Saccharomyces cerevisiae S288C: one gene and its partners. Changing the gene in region 1 together with any one later gene gives a genetic interaction. Each region holds a gene or a part of one and is shown on either strand. Other genes may lie near its edges.

Region 1 (5,543 bases):
GTATGGGTGCTGGTGTCATGGCCGCTGCCGCCATGTTATTATAATCTCATTTTTAAATGGAATTTTTAATGTTCGTATATACCAATTTATCTATTGAATAGTTTTTTTTAAATTTTACTGTTTCTTTTAAACCTCGAATTATTGTGAGAACTGATTTCATCAACTGGAGGCTGTAGTGTACGTTTTGAAAACGGAAATGATTTACCGTTTTCTTTTATGATGATGCTAGGATAGGCACCTTCAAACATGCATGTCTTCCTGCCCACATTCTGAAAATATTTAACGATGGATGAAAGAAATCAACAATAGAAAAGGCCAGTTGTCAGTTTTTATATAATACAGAGAAGTACATATGACAGTTTAAAAGTTAAGCATTAACTGGTAAGTTGAAATAATAATATAATCATAAGCGGAACGAACATTTTCGACACGTACTAAAATCATAGTAGCATGGCGGCAACAGCAGCTAAAGCACCGGCACCCATACCGATAACAGCCTTGGCAGCACCGTTTTCGGTTTGTTCAACGATACCGGTAGTTTTAGATTGAACGCTAACAACGGTAGCAGACTTCTTAGCTTGACAGGCGGAGTCACATACGGTAACTGTAGTCTTTAGTGTAGAGAAGTCAGTTGCAGTAGAGGTACCTTCTTTGCATGTACTGCAGATAGTAGCGGTTGAAACCTTAGTAGAATTGTTGTAACCGGTGGTGGAAGCTGGAACGGCAGATGTTGAAGAGTAGTCACAGACAGTGGTTTCTTTGGTGACAAGAGTGTTGTCAGTTTCAGTAACAGTGGTACCGTTTCTGGTTGAGATAATAACGCTGGAAGCAGAACTAGCTGGGGTGGTGGTGGTTGTGGAGTTGTAAGGAGCAATGGTCGAGATAGAAGTCTGGGCAGTGGAAGAAGAGCTAGCAATGGTTGAGTTGTAAGGAGCAACGCTTGAGCTAGCAGGTCCGGCCGAAGATGAAACAACTGAGGAAACTGGAGAGGAACTGACAGCTTCAGAAGAGGAAACGGCTGAGGAAGAACTGACAGAGGAAGAGCTAACAGACTCGGTCGAAGAGGAAACAGCGGAGGAAGATGTGACAGCAGAAGAACTAGTAGCTTCGCTTGTAGAAGAAGCAACGGAAGAGCTGACAACTTCACTTGAGGATGGCGCAACAGAGGAGCTGGCAACTTCACTTGAGGATGAAGCAACGGAAGAGCTGACAACTTCACTTGAGGATGGTGCAACGGAAGAGCTGACAACTTCACTTGAGGATGGCGCAACAGAGGAGCTGGCAACTTCACTTGAGGATGAAGCAACGGAAGAGCTGACAACTTCACTTGAGGATGGCGCAACAGAGGAGCTGGCAACTTCACTTGAGGATGAAGCAACGGAAGAGCTGACAACTTCACTTGAGGATGGTGCAACGGAAGAGCTGACAACTTCACTTGAGGATGGTGCAACGGAAGAGCTGACAACTTCACTTGAGGATGGTGCAACAGAAGAGCTAGTGGATGAAGCAATAGAAGAGCTAGCAACTTCACTTGAAGATGTGGCAGCAGAACTTGAGGTAGTTAGAGAAGCATCCATTGCTTCTAATTCTGGAAGCAGTCTAGAAGAGTACCATGGGACCATAGTCAACATATGCTCAACAGCAGAAAAGTCCACTTCAGAGTACAAAGTGGTGTAGGAGTCATCACTTGGATTTGCAACCAATTGCGCAGCAATATCCATAATACCAGCTGGCATTTGGTCCAAGGAAAAACCTGAATTTGGAGTGTAGGATAGGGTGATGTAGTCGGCAATGTTGGTCTTAACATCATCTAAAACAACGTTCAATTCGTTGATTTGTGCTTGGGTTTGAGCGTAAGCAATAGCAGCAAGAGCGGCTAGTAATGTGATTTTAGAGTAAGCCATATTTTTTATGGTATTAATAAGCGAGTGAATAGGTTTTTGTTGCTGGTTTCTATCAGAACAAGAGTAGGGAACGAGATAAGTAAACGGGCTAAAAACTGATCTGTCCTAGCGATCCTTCCCTTTTTATATTCGAAAGCTTGGGATCATATCTTACTGCGTGGAAAACAAAGAATTTGCATCCTCCCTTTTGGACTATCCTACTTGTTAGAAATGCATCGTTTAGGAACCCTGTTCTATTATTTTCCGTCATTTTTTGAGAATTTCCATTCCTTCTAAAAGTGGCAGATGGGTTGTTACGAGATTTTTACTGATAATTCGCGCGCAGCGTCGCCTCTCCGCGAGTTTCAGTGTAAGCTATTGTTGAAAAGTACTTCGTTTGCCTTTTTAAGTTGCCTTTGGTTGCCATTGTTGTATCTTCAGGGTTTTCTTCGGATCACATCAGCTGTGAGAGTACGGTTAAGTTTGGAAGTCACAACTCGATTATGCCAGTTCGTAAGTGAGCACTAGATGACCTTGCTTTCCCCGTACGAGCCGGTTACGGTAGCAACTTTTGTTTTCCTTGCGCGGAGTGTATGCCTATTCTGATCTTTAAATTTCCTGAAGTGTCTGTCGTGCGCCGTAAACGAATTATTACACACACACGAATCTGGGAAACCGTGAACCCCATACATTGTCTTTTTTTTTTCACAGTCCCTTATCAGTACCGTTTGGCTAACAAAAGCATAAAATATTGTTCGTTCAGATGACCCCTTCAGTACACCGCGTTTACAGTTTCAAAGTTCCTTTTAGAATAGCACCCTGTTCGCCGGCGGATAATTTGCACGCCGTATGAAGGAAGAACATATAAAAACGCAAAATATGAGGCATAAACAATCACAATATCCTCACCTTAGAAGTTAGCCGTAGCGGTTTTCTTGCGCGTGCTTGTTTCTTTTCTTAGTTCTAAGCTTCAGCAAACCCATCCACAATCTTTCTTCAAGAACTTTATCGTGTCTACTTCATAACAACCTGCTAAACAGATTGTGAAATCGTTCCTGCTCAAGCAAGTAGTTTATGATAAATCGTCTTGTAATAGCTCGGCAAAACAACATCATATATGAAAGTGTTTCAAGTTTTTTGCCTAGTAGCAGACTGGAAATTCCACCACCTCTCTTCCAGACTTCGGTTTACATAAGAACTTAATGGTGTGTAATTTTTTTACATACTTCTGGAAGCAGATATCATCGGCCCCCAAAGTCGCCTTCTGCAAAATAATGTGGAGATCTTATCTTGTTTTTCTCTTCTTTATGACACCAAGGATACAAACATATTGTCCTGTACCGGTACTAAGGTCAATGGCAGTATTAAATATTATCTCTCCGCTTATAATTTTTGTCAGTCCTATTAAAAAGCAAGACAGTTTACACAGCAGCGCTTGTTACGCAAATTTGACGTTAGTGGAAAAGCTGCAACTTTGGCATTCTATGTCAAACGATTAGTAATATAGTTGACTACTTTCGTAGAATTCCTTCCTCAAGAAAAATTTTCTCCGCCTTTCCTCTCTGAAGATGGAAATAACGCTGCATGGGGAAGAAAATAATGTAATTTTCGAAGCGAAAGCGAGAGAAACGGAGGGGAAAAATAAAAGTGTTTGGCGTATCATAGCCTCATTTGGAAGAATTTAACGCAGTGTAGTTTTCTTGGACGATACAGTAAACTCGACCAGGCACTAACATTACAGAAAATCTCGTATTGATATTGTTATTGCTTAAAGGGTAATCAAGGTAAACAAGAAAGAAGCTCCTCGTTGTCCGTAAATTTTTTAATAAGGAGAGAGAAAAAGAGAGATAACCAAGAGGAGAAAAAGGAATCTGCATCACATTTATTCAGGATAGTACGTTGGCTGATTTAGTACTCAGGATAAAAAATTCTATTTAAATAATGAGACCGAACAAAACAAGTCTGCTTCTGGCGTTATTATCCATTTTATCGCAAGCGAACGCCTATGAATACGTGAATTGTTTTAGCTCACTACCCTCTGACTTTTCAAAGGCCGATTCATATAACTGGCAGTCGAGTTCACACTGTAACAGTGAGTGTAGCGCAAAAGGTGCAAGCTACTTTGCCCTTTATAATCATTCAGAATGTTATTGTGGTGATACTAATCCATCTGGTTCGGAATCTACTTCCTCTTCATGTAATACGTATTGCTTTGGTTACAGCAGTGAGATGTGTGGTGGTGAAGATGCCTATTCTGTGTACCAACTTGACTCTGACACAAATAGCAATAGCATAAGCAGCTCAGATTCAAGTACGGAGTCTACTTCTGCGTCGTCTTCCACAACTTCTTCAACAACGTCCTCCACAACATCAACTACATCATCGACTACATCATCAACTACATCATCAATGGCGTCTTCCTCTACAGTACAGAATTCCCCCGAGTCAACTCAAGCAGCTGCCTCTATTTCAACGTCACAGAGTTCGAGCACTGTAACGTCAGAAAGCTCGCTAACTTCGGATACTTTGGCAACGAGCAGTACTAGCTCTCAATCACAGGACGCCACTTCGATAATCTATTCCACTACTTTTCACACTGAGGGCGGTTCCACAATTTTTGTCACGAACACCATCACGGCAAGTGCACAGAATTCAGGATCGGCCACAGGTACAGCTGGATCTGACTCTACGAGTGGAAGTAAAACTCATAAAAAGAAAGCCAATGTAGGGGCAATTGTAGGCGGCGTTGTAGGTGGTGTAGTGGGAGCCGTAGCCATTGCTCTTTGTATCTTGTTGATTGTCAGACACATTAATATGAAGCGGGAACAAGACAGGATGGAAAAGGAATACCAAGAGGCGATAAAACCAGTTGAGTACCCTGATAAACTATACGCCTCTTCATTTTCATCTAATCACGGGCCCTCTTCAGGTAGCTTCGAGGAGGAGCACACCAAAGGGCAAACTGATATTAACCCTTTCGACGACTCAAGGAGAATAAGTAACGGAACATTCATAAATGGCGGACCAGGAGGGAAAAACAACGTTTTAACAGTGGTCAATCCAGACGAAGCTGATTGAAGAAACCCAAAAAAAATTATTATATTCTTAAACTATTGCCAAGCAAGTCTTGTTCCTTCCCATTAATTTTTTCTTTTTCCGATTTCATTTTGCCAAATCATCTCCATTTTCACATTATGATGATCCTCTAAAAATTCATACATTTCGAATTTGAGAGCTGGAGAGCTGGAAGTAACGAGGAACATTAAATAGGAACAACAAAATTAGATTAGTTATTTTTTTTTCTACTCATTAATTTTTTTATGATATATTTGAATACCAACCTTAACTTAGTTACATAGATTTAACAAACATTAAACATGTTAATTCTTTGAAATGAATACCACCTAATAAAACTATACATTTTCAAAATAACAAATTGTTATGAAACTAATAGCTAATTATCTTCTAGTGACAATAACCACTTTACTAGAAATTATTAAAAAAATACCGCGTTGAAAGACGATATAAAGTAGGAGATTAATAAATTTATATTCATATTTTCTTCAATCTAATGAAATTGAAGCGCAAGGATTGATTATGTGATAGGATGCGTGAGTAGTAATGCATGAAAAAGGAGGAAGACGTGATTATAATATATGA
Region 2 (5,132 bases), on another chromosome or scaffold:
ATGTTTAAAAATAAAAAATAAAAAAGTATTTTAAATTTTTAAAAAAGTTGATTATAAGCATGTGACCTTTTGCAAGCAATTAAATTTTGCAATTTGTGATTTAGGCAAAAGTTACTATTTCTGGCTCGTGTAATATATGTATGCTAATGTGAACTTTTACAAAGTCGATATGGACTTAGTCAAAAGAAATTTTCTTAAAAATATATAGCACTAGCCAATTTAGCACTTCTTTATGAGATATATTATAGACTTTATTAAGCCAGATTTGTGTATTATATGTATTTACCCGGCGAATCATGGACATACATTCTGAAATAGGTAATATTCTCTATGGTGAGACAGCATAGATAACCTAGGATACAAGTTAAAAGCTAGTACTGTTTTGCAGTAATTTTTTTCTTTTTTATAAGAATGTTACCACCTAAATAAGTTATAAAGTCAATAGTTAAGTTTGATATTTGATTGTAAAATACCGTAATATATTTGCATGATCAAAAGGCTCAATGTTGACTAGCCAGCATGTCAACCACTATATTGATCACCGATATTAGGACTTCCACACCAACTAGTAATATGACAATAAATTCAAGATATTCTTCATGAGAATGGCCCAGCTGTTCCTTCAACATTTGAAGAAGATCTGAAATGACCTCGAGTCTTTGATTTAAAAGTGAAACGCGCTGATTGATCTCTAAGTAACCTCTTGTTGCTTGGTATATGGGTTCTAACTGTGGTTCTGACCACATAATTTCTGGAGAGTCTAAAACTGATCCATGTAGATTGATATTTATCCTCAAAATGAATAGCTCCCCTATACTTTTCATTATATCTTCTTTGCTCATAGAAACTTTACCGCTGTATGCAATTTCTTGTGGTATATCCTGAGTATCTTCAATAGTATTATCCACAAGCTCTTCGAAAAGTGAAATTTTTACGCTTTGAGCAATTGCATGAGAGATAGAGAGTTTTACCATGTAATTTGAACCATCTCTCAAGGTAATAAAATCGTTATATATTCTTGGTTGATAACTTTTTGTGACATAATAATTGAACTCTTCAACTTGAATATCTTCTTCCGCCAATTTTTCTTTTTCGAACTTTTCTATATCGTTTAAGAAAGCTTTTTCTTCTCTTTCAGTAAACCCCCACATAACGACAACACCATATTCAAAGATAAACAGATCTGGGTGCTTGTCACTAACAATAATTTCACCGCCCTCATCATCCAACCTAATCACATCTTCATCCTCAAATCTTTTGTCGCCCCTCCAATCGTTGTAAATGAAGGGAGTGTACAAGCATTCATCAAACAATTTAGGATGAGTATGATGTAGCTTTCGACAGTCCTTTAACCACCTTACCAGCTCTTTCATATTGTAACTGCTAGCAGTACAATATGCAGTTGACCTGGGGAGTAAATGTCTGTGAGCTTTTCCCAACTTTTCAGCATCCCTTCTAGCAGGCTTATCTTTTATCCTGTTTACCTGAGAATATACTTCCTGATTCTTTAAATCAGTAAGTCTTTCGCTATCTCTTTGGAATGGTTCTTCTGGCAAAAGTTTTAGTTTCTGTGCTGTGCGTGATGTTCTTTGAGCGCCCGATCCTGTACGACTTTGTTTACTTGTCGGGTTGATCATGGCACTTCCTGTATACGATGCTCTAGACTTTCTTGTATCTTGTGGGGTAGGTAAGTACTTTTTTTGGACCAGTGATGGCCTACTGTTATTTGATGTTTGGATGTCATTATGAAGTAATGCATGGCGTTCCGGTTGATCATCATTACTATCTACCATGACTAATTGAATATTAAATGTATTTAAAATGCTAATTTAAGCTGAGTAGTAGTTGGACAGATTTGTTTAGCCGCAGTTACGGTGATAGTCGGCAAAGGAATAATTTTACGGTTACTTGATATATTTTCGTGCTAAGAAATCTTGTGCACGAAAGCGGACAAGGTATTGTCAGCAGTTTTTCGCCCTAAATCGCATTATCAAACAGAAAAAACAAGAATACACCAGTAAAGCAAAAGGAGCCGACGGTTCTCCATTTTCCTTAGAAAAAAGATTTTCTTCTGAGAAAGGAAGGATTTCAATTAAAATATAAGGAAATGATTACCACGCACATATATATTAAATCGTTCTAGGGGCTAGAATTGGATGAGAAGCAGCCAGGATATAGGTAATAGTAACACATAAGAAATGTCAGTTGAAGAAAAAAAGCGCAGACTTGAAGAATTGAAAGATCAGAATGTGGTGCTTGGACTTGCAATCCAAAGGTCACGACTTTCGGTGAAAAGACTCAAATTAGAATACGGTGTTTTACTGGAGAGGTTGGAATCCAGGATAGAACTTGATCCTGAGTTAAACTGTGAGGATCCATTGCCGACTCTGGCCTCCTTCAAACAGGAACTATTGACGAAGCCATTTCGAAAATCTAAAACTAAAAGACACAAAGTAAAGGAAAGAGATCCGAATATGCCCAAGAGGCCCACAAATGCATACTTATTGTACTGTGAAATGAATAAGGAAAGGATTAGGCAGAATGGCTCTCTGGACGTGACAAGAGATCTGGCAGAAGGTTGGAAAAATCTTAACGAACAAGATAGGAAACCGTACTATAAGCTTTATAGTGAGGACAGAGAAAGATACCAGATGGAAATGGAAATATATAATAAAAAGATATCTAATATAGATGCGGATGATGATAAAGAAGAGAATGAACAGAAGATAAAAAATAACGAGGAAGGATCATCTACAAAAGTAGCTGATTCTAAAGGAGGTGAAGATGGAAGTTTAGTTTCCTCTAACTAAAAATTAAAAATTCCATTTTTTTCTATTTTCTTTGAAGATATCGTAAGACGTTCTAGGCGCTTTATCCAGAAATTGTTCAACTTTATTGTTTTGTATATTAGATAAAAAGTTGAGCCTTTAAAAACTGCATAATGTTTCCTCTGGCTGCTAATGTACCAAAGCTAATGGAAAAGAAGATTGTTTGGCCTGGAAAACTTTCTAGACGTGGCTTTATTACCAGGGTTGTGTAAGATTATGTAAGATGGTCAGTATGTAGCACTTACAATGGACCTTTCTTCTATTCCCAAGGTTTCCATGAGAAAATTTCGGCTTCACCGGTGTACGTGGGCAGACGATTCCTAATATCACTATTCAAAATAATACAGCAAGTTTTAGAATAAATACTACCCATGCACCAGCGTGTAGAGTTGCCAAGATCATTCTGCCTTGCGGCCAGTAGTGGCTCTACCGCATTAGTTTGAATTTTATCGTATTTTGTGAATATTAATATTAAATATTGACAATTTTATAAATTAAAGTCTTTGATCTATATATGCATCAGCTTATTGGGTCCACCAAGAAATCCCCTCGGCGTAACTAGGTTTTAAGCATTGATAAACCTTTCAAATAGTGCAGGTTTGGCGTCTATTTTAATATTTCCGAATGCTTCTGTTTGACTCAAACCAATACATCCTTCTGTAGCAAGTGATAAAATATCGAAAAATCCTCTACTGGCTTCTCTTTTAGTAATATTTTCTGGTTCTGTATTTGCTTGACTTTTTAGTACATCCGTGAATATTACTTCTTTTTCTTCGCTTAATTCCTTCCTTAAAATCTTCGCCATTTGAACAATAGCTTTAGAAGCCACCTCACCGGGAGTAGGACGAACTTTTTCAGTTTGGATGGTAGTTTGCTCATTTCTAGTCTTTGCGTCGATGATATTCTCTTCAGGAAAAGGAGCCTCATTTAAGCCAGCATCAATTGGTACGAAGTCTGACATGTTATCGGTCAGTTCATTGAAGGAGTTATCGTTTGTTCCCGCATTACTAATTACATCGTCGGTAAGATTAAGCGACACGTTTAACTCAGGTTCTTCAATTGACCCTTCTCGCCCATTATGTATTTTTCTTTTTTTTAGAGATTCGTAGGATAAGAAGTTCTTAAGGATTGGATCTGGTAAATAGGACATACTTTCAGTTATTTCACTCCATAATCTTTTAGTCGTAAAATTGGTGGGCTGTGGAGTCAATAAATTATTCGATCTCTCCTCTTTGTATGTATTGGATGAAGCTATGCTTTCTGAATTTTCTGTTTCTTCATCGATTTGAATACTTTTGGTATTCAGTAATTTTGAGTTCCTTCTTGTGCCAGTTTGTTTTGGCTGTGATTCTGTCATGGCATCGGTTATCGTATCTATATTGCCTGCGGGTGCTTCTTTTTCTATATCCAGATCAAATCCAAAATCCGTAGGCTCCTCAGACATGATTGATTCACCTAGCCTTCTTCCTTGCTCAACAGAGTTATCGTCATCATCGTTGTTCTGGTCATTTTTTTCGGTAATCCCTAGATCCCAACCAATAGTTCCAGCATCATCAAGAGGGAAATCGTCATCTTGTATGTAATTTTCGTGCGTATCAAAGTTGCGTGAGCTTTGTCTTGTTCCTTCTTCCCAAGATTTTGAAGTTATCGGACCTTCCTCGATGTCAAAATCAAGGTTCATACTAGACAAATTATTATGTTCGAAATCTTCATCTGGACTGAATCGTCTACCGACCTCAAGTGAAGTATCCCAGGGAGCAGCACCTTGGACTTTTCTTTCCATCGAATTCTCCTGCGCCATTAAGCCCACTGGTATAGTAGTATCATCTAAGAACTCTAACCCTGGGGTGACCAAAACTTCTCTTTCTGTAACGGCATCTTCTAACATCAATTGATGAACCCTTGTTACAGTGTTCAGTCTGTTTACTGTAGAAGTCATCTTCTGGCTTGTTTTAAATAACATACTTATCTTCGTTAATGTGTCCTTTATATCTGTAAGGAGAAAAGTGGCCTGTTTGGAATATACACGAACAATGCCTTGAAGTAATTCGCCAGATGTTCGTAAAGTTATGTATTCATTGTCCCCTGATTCGTCATCACAGCCAGAAGCTTTTGCAATTTCCTTTGCTGATTCAGCAATATGTGTTTGGATAACCGATCCTCTTGGTATATTCGACATATTTGAAGCAAGCCATATTTGTGCTAATGGACCCTTATTGGTGGCAAGTCTTAAAACAGTAAGACGTTGAGGATTTTCTGTAACCATTGTCGTGTTTCTTGTAAAGTAATTGTGCAATTGAGTTG
Region 3 (4,637 bases), on another chromosome or scaffold:
CTTCATTACAAATGAAGAATTTCAAAGCGTATCTAGTTCACCAAAAGTCACAATATCTTATTATTATTTGGAAGCTTTTATATGCATCTAATGGTCATAAATCCCATCTCACTTTATAAAACAAGTTACCGCGAATGTATCCAGTGATACAGAATAGAGTGTAACAAATGAGAATAAAAATACCATATTATCGTTTAATTTTGGTAGGGTACGCTAAAATAAAGTGGTGTTTGCGTCTCCATATAACTAAAAAGAATTGAAATGGCCTACTATCGATTAGACTATTCAGGCATGGAAGCAGTAAGAACATTTCTTGATTTTGGAAAAATGAGATTAGATTATTAATTATTGTGTTTGTGTATATAATTTATTTTGCATATTTCATAAAGAAATTAAAATTAGATTATTAAATATTAAGTTTCATTAGTGACATTAAAAGAAGAAAACTGATGTTTTGAAATGTGTTAAGCAAAGAATGATTAAGACAATCTCAAGCTGCTCTAAGCAGTATCTTCGACAGCTTGCTCTGCTTCAGGTTCGGGTTCGTGGATTGCAGTCTCTCCAGATGCTCTTGGGCTCTCTGGAACAGCTTCTTTTGTTTCAGGAGCCGCATCTTCCACATCGTCCGTAGCATGGTGATGAGAGAATCCTCCTGTCAAAGATAGCCTTGGCAATTTGCCATCACGGCTGACTGCAATTAGCAAGTAACATGGATAAATGGCAAATACACATAAATCCAAAACACCATAAAAGATAGCCTCACCGTCTGGTTGAATACGGTTACCACCATCACTTAGACCCCAACAGATAAAGTACAACCAAACGATTACCATGCAGGTACACAGCATAAGTGCATTGAACCCTCTAGTTTTCAAATTGAAGAATTGACGTTGGCATATCACACCTTGGGTAACCAACATAGCGACAGCACCAATGGTGTAATAACCCCACTTGTAGGTGGACTTGATCAATGAACCAACTAATAGCGAAACAACCCAGAATAAGGTACCCACGATTTGAATTAACAGCGAATGTACCATATCCAAGGCGGAAATGTCGTCATTCTCACCAGTAGTACTAGCGGCTAACTCGATTAAAAATAAAAGGCATGGCCAGGACAAGAACCAGGCAATATATTTCGAGTAAAAGATTTGTCTAATACCGGGAACTTCACCTGTGATAGACTTGCTAACCTTGACGTGGTTAAATTCAGCTTGAACACCAGTCCAACCTAAATCAGAAGCATAAGTGAAGAAAGCAAAAAATTCAAAGAAAGTGATCAAAAATGCAGGAGCTAAGGCATATCTAGTCAATCTGGAGCCCTTGTTCTCCGCAATGAAGAACATCACAACATAGCATAGCAATATAAAGCCAAAGACTGCAAACACTGCCCATAACCAATCCGAACCTCTCTTGGTAATGTGCATATCCAGGCCATGTGGTGGATTAAGCCCTAAAGCCTCGTTACGATTTAAAAAGCTTGATAGCGTATCGTTCATTTGAAATTTGTTGTTTTTAGTAATCAAAAGATATTAAAGTCTCAAACTTGTTGTTTTGTTTTTGTAATTATAAATAATAATAATTGAGTTAATATTTGTTGTTGTGTTGTATTGCAGAATGTAAAAACAAGAAACAAGATTAGAAAGTGAATAGGTGTTACGCTAAATAATTGAAGACTCTCACAGACTTATATATGATTTTTTTAGTGTGATACAACTTGTAATGAGGTAAGGGATTGATATTATACTTTCTAACTGATGATGAATATGAAAACTTTGGCCAATTAGGGAGAGGAAAGTTTTCGATGAGATGCTAGAAAAAAACTTGTCCTTGCCATAGCAGAAAGGGATGATGAAATAACGAAGATGAGCTAATTTGGTATTCGAATAAACATGCAGGATGTGGCGGAAGGGATCGGAATAAGAGTCGGGATCGGGATCGGGATATGGCTTTGCTTACTTTAGCCATACCAAATATTCTTACAAAGCACGCTTTCGATGCGTTTTTGCCTTCTGAGAGAATCCTCCTACGGCTCGACCCTTGAAAAATTCTAGAGGATCTGGAAAATGGCCAACAAAATCGCGCAGGGAGACGCAAGGAAAGTAAGTCAGATGGATCCGACTGTATGTAACAAGGGTTGCTGCAGCGGTTTTCCATCCCTTTCGGCACCCTGCACAAGTAGTTATTCTTACTTATGCAAAACGGATATGAGCTACATAGCGTTCATTTTTTAGGTTTTCAGAAGCTATTACAACGCAGTAAAAAGGATACACAACTTTCTTACGGGGAAGAAGAATACGGCTCAATGCACCCACTTCAACCCCCGGTATCACGCGGCACTAAAGTTGTTTGATTGTAATAGTAATACTGCTGTTGAGGTTTTCTTCTTCAGGGCTGCTCACAACGTGATATATTTGAATTGACAGGACGTATTCAGCGCAGTTGAGGAAAATTAACATATGACATGCGCAGGAAATAAGTGCTCAAGTTTTCTACTTTTGAAGAAAGGACTTTGGTTTACTTGCCTACTATCTCCATGTCAAGTACTCGGTTGTATGATGTTAAGGAGCGCAGGGAACACTAATCGATAAAAAACCCTTATTGGCTATTACTAAATGTAACGGCCGTGCTCTAGTGAAATTTGTATAGAAAAATGGGTTCTCTCGCTCAAAATGGGCGCCATTACTTGTCTGGTCAAATTGAGTTCCTGGATATAATTACATAAACGGATTGAAATTTACATAAGGAGTATAATAATTCCGGAAACTATCTTGAGTGCAATGCCATCACGCGGCCATGCCTTGACATAACATGCTCTCATCAAAAAGGTGCAAATTTTCGCCAGTTATGGTTGATATCTAAAATCTACTGGAGTTCATTTTTTTTTTTATTAGATATCCTTTTTGCAAGCCTTCTGAAAAAAAATTTCTCATGTGGTACAGCGTTGGTTACTTAAGCTGCTTAAACTAGATCGATGAGCCATTCTTAAATCAGAAGACTGTGACTGCGAATTGTAGGCATCTTCACTACCCTGTCCATGAAGCTCATTTTCGTTATCATCAATTGGTGCTATCTTATAACTTTGATAAAGAGCTACCATACAAAAAAGACTTAACGACCACCAACTGACCCAGGCGACGTCATTTTGCTGGGACCAAGACATAATATAGCCCCATACTAAGGGACCTATGAAACGAGCAGAGGCAGAAATACTAATGGTGGCGCCATTGATGACTGATCTACAACTCAAGGGACTCGAATTATGAATTAATAACATAATTTGTGGTGACGTTAAAGCGCCACAAAATGTTTTTATCCCTGTGATTATGTACAAGTAGACGACAGTATACCAGCTAGGAATCCGTTCATTCTGTAGAAAAACAACGTAAGGAACCATAACGTACATAATAGGGTACAGCTTGACTAAAGTTCTGAAAATTGTTAAACAATCGAAATTTCGATCAACTATGGGAAAAATGAAAATAACCACAAAACAACCAAAGATACCTGTTGTCGACAAAAGAGTACCGGTTTGTTCTGGTTCATAACCTATACCGCCAGATATTTTCCACGGAAATTTTGAAGCCAGCTTCTTTGGATTTTCTGGATCTACGGCTAAATCATAAGCTAAAAAAACAGGCAAAAATTCGTTGTATACAATCAAATGTAAAGCCATAATAAAATTCACCGATATAGGGTAAAATACTTTTGTATGAAAAACGTGATGAAATATACTACTTTCTTTACAACCGTCTGGAGCTGTATCTATATTGGCATGCACAGCGTCTGTTGGTTCATGCAGAGAATATGTCCTAATCAGGCCTACAGACTGTCTTCTTGTTAAAATAGGATCAATCGATTGTATGCTTTCAGTATCATCGTCATTGGTAGTATTCACTAGGGGACTATTTTCATCCTCTTCACTATCTTGTCCTCGAATGCTGTTCACATTCTCATTACGGTGGTGAATGTTTTCCGAATCATCCTGAATGCGCTTTTGCCAGGGTCTTCTTTTCGGCTGTATACCAAATATATTCTTCTTAATAAAATCACCGACCTCTAAACCGTAATCTCTTCTATCTTTAAAAGCAGGATGTGTTTCTTCCAAAAACAATGTTGCATTAGTTAAACCAAACATCAAAAACATGCACACTACCACGTTTGGCAAGGCGTACGGATATGACCTAATTATTCTTTTTGCAAAATGTGGAAACCATAGTGGCACTTCATTCATTGTTCCATCTCTAAATACAAGAAACCCACCGATCATAGGCCCAACAACGGCACCAAATTGAAATAATAAAGGCATAGTACTGAAAGCTAAAGCCTGATGTTTTCTTTCAGTTGCTATTTCACCAATAATGGTTCTAATAACGCCGACGTTACCATTTAGCAATCCCATTAAACTTCTTGCCACCAAAGCCTGATAGAAATTGCGTGAAAATCCCAGTATTAACAATGATACAGATGTTCCTATAAGCCCGCAAGTCAATGTTATTTTTCTGCCATGCTTTTCAGAGAATCTACCCCAGTGGTACGCAGATATGACTTGGCATAACGCAAATGATGAAGATAAATAACCTGAATATTTGGACACTTGAGCATCATTGGGAGCAATATTAAAATCTCTAACCATG

What was found. Genes that interact genetically often act in the same process or in processes that back each other up.
Region 2: mutations in YOR008C-A (region 1) and RMD1 together harm fitness more than expected from each alone (negative genetic interaction), as found in Saccharomyces cerevisiae (2 studies listed by BioGRID).
Region 3: mutations in YOR008C-A (region 1) and HSP30 together harm fitness more than expected from each alone (negative genetic interaction), as found in Saccharomyces cerevisiae (2 studies listed by BioGRID).

What each region holds. Positions count from the first base shown.
Region 1 is NC_001147.6:340,696-346,238, reverse strand, and holds YOR008C-A (uncharacterized protein), read left to right. Parts: upstream 1-3,157; coding exon 3,158-3,382; downstream 3,383-5,543. Other genes in the region: TIR2 (putative GPI-anchored mannoprotein), read left to right, coding at 1-44; TIR4 (Tir4p), read right to left, coding at 441-1,904; SLG1 (Slg1p), read left to right, coding at 3,825-4,961.
Region 2 is NC_001136.10:444,645-449,776, reverse strand, and holds RMD1 (Rmd1p), read right to left. Parts: upstream 1,794-5,132; coding exon 501-1,793; downstream 1-500. Other genes in the region: NHP10 (Nhp10p), read left to right, coding at 2,199-2,810; MCD1 (kleisin alpha), read right to left, coding at 3,394-5,094. UniProt on the Saccharomyces cerevisiae protein: Required for sporulation where it is believed to have a role in meiotic nuclear division.
Region 3 is NC_001135.5:155,609-160,245, forward strand, and holds HSP30 (Hsp30p), read right to left. Parts: upstream 1,500-4,637; coding exon 501-1,499; downstream 1-500. Other genes in the region: YCR022C (uncharacterized protein), read right to left, coding at 1,813-2,157; YCR023C (uncharacterized protein), read right to left, coding at 2,930-4,637. UniProt on the Saccharomyces cerevisiae protein: Probably cooperates with other heat shock proteins in the translocation of polypeptides through membranes. It may counteract the altering effect of heat shock on the plasma membrane.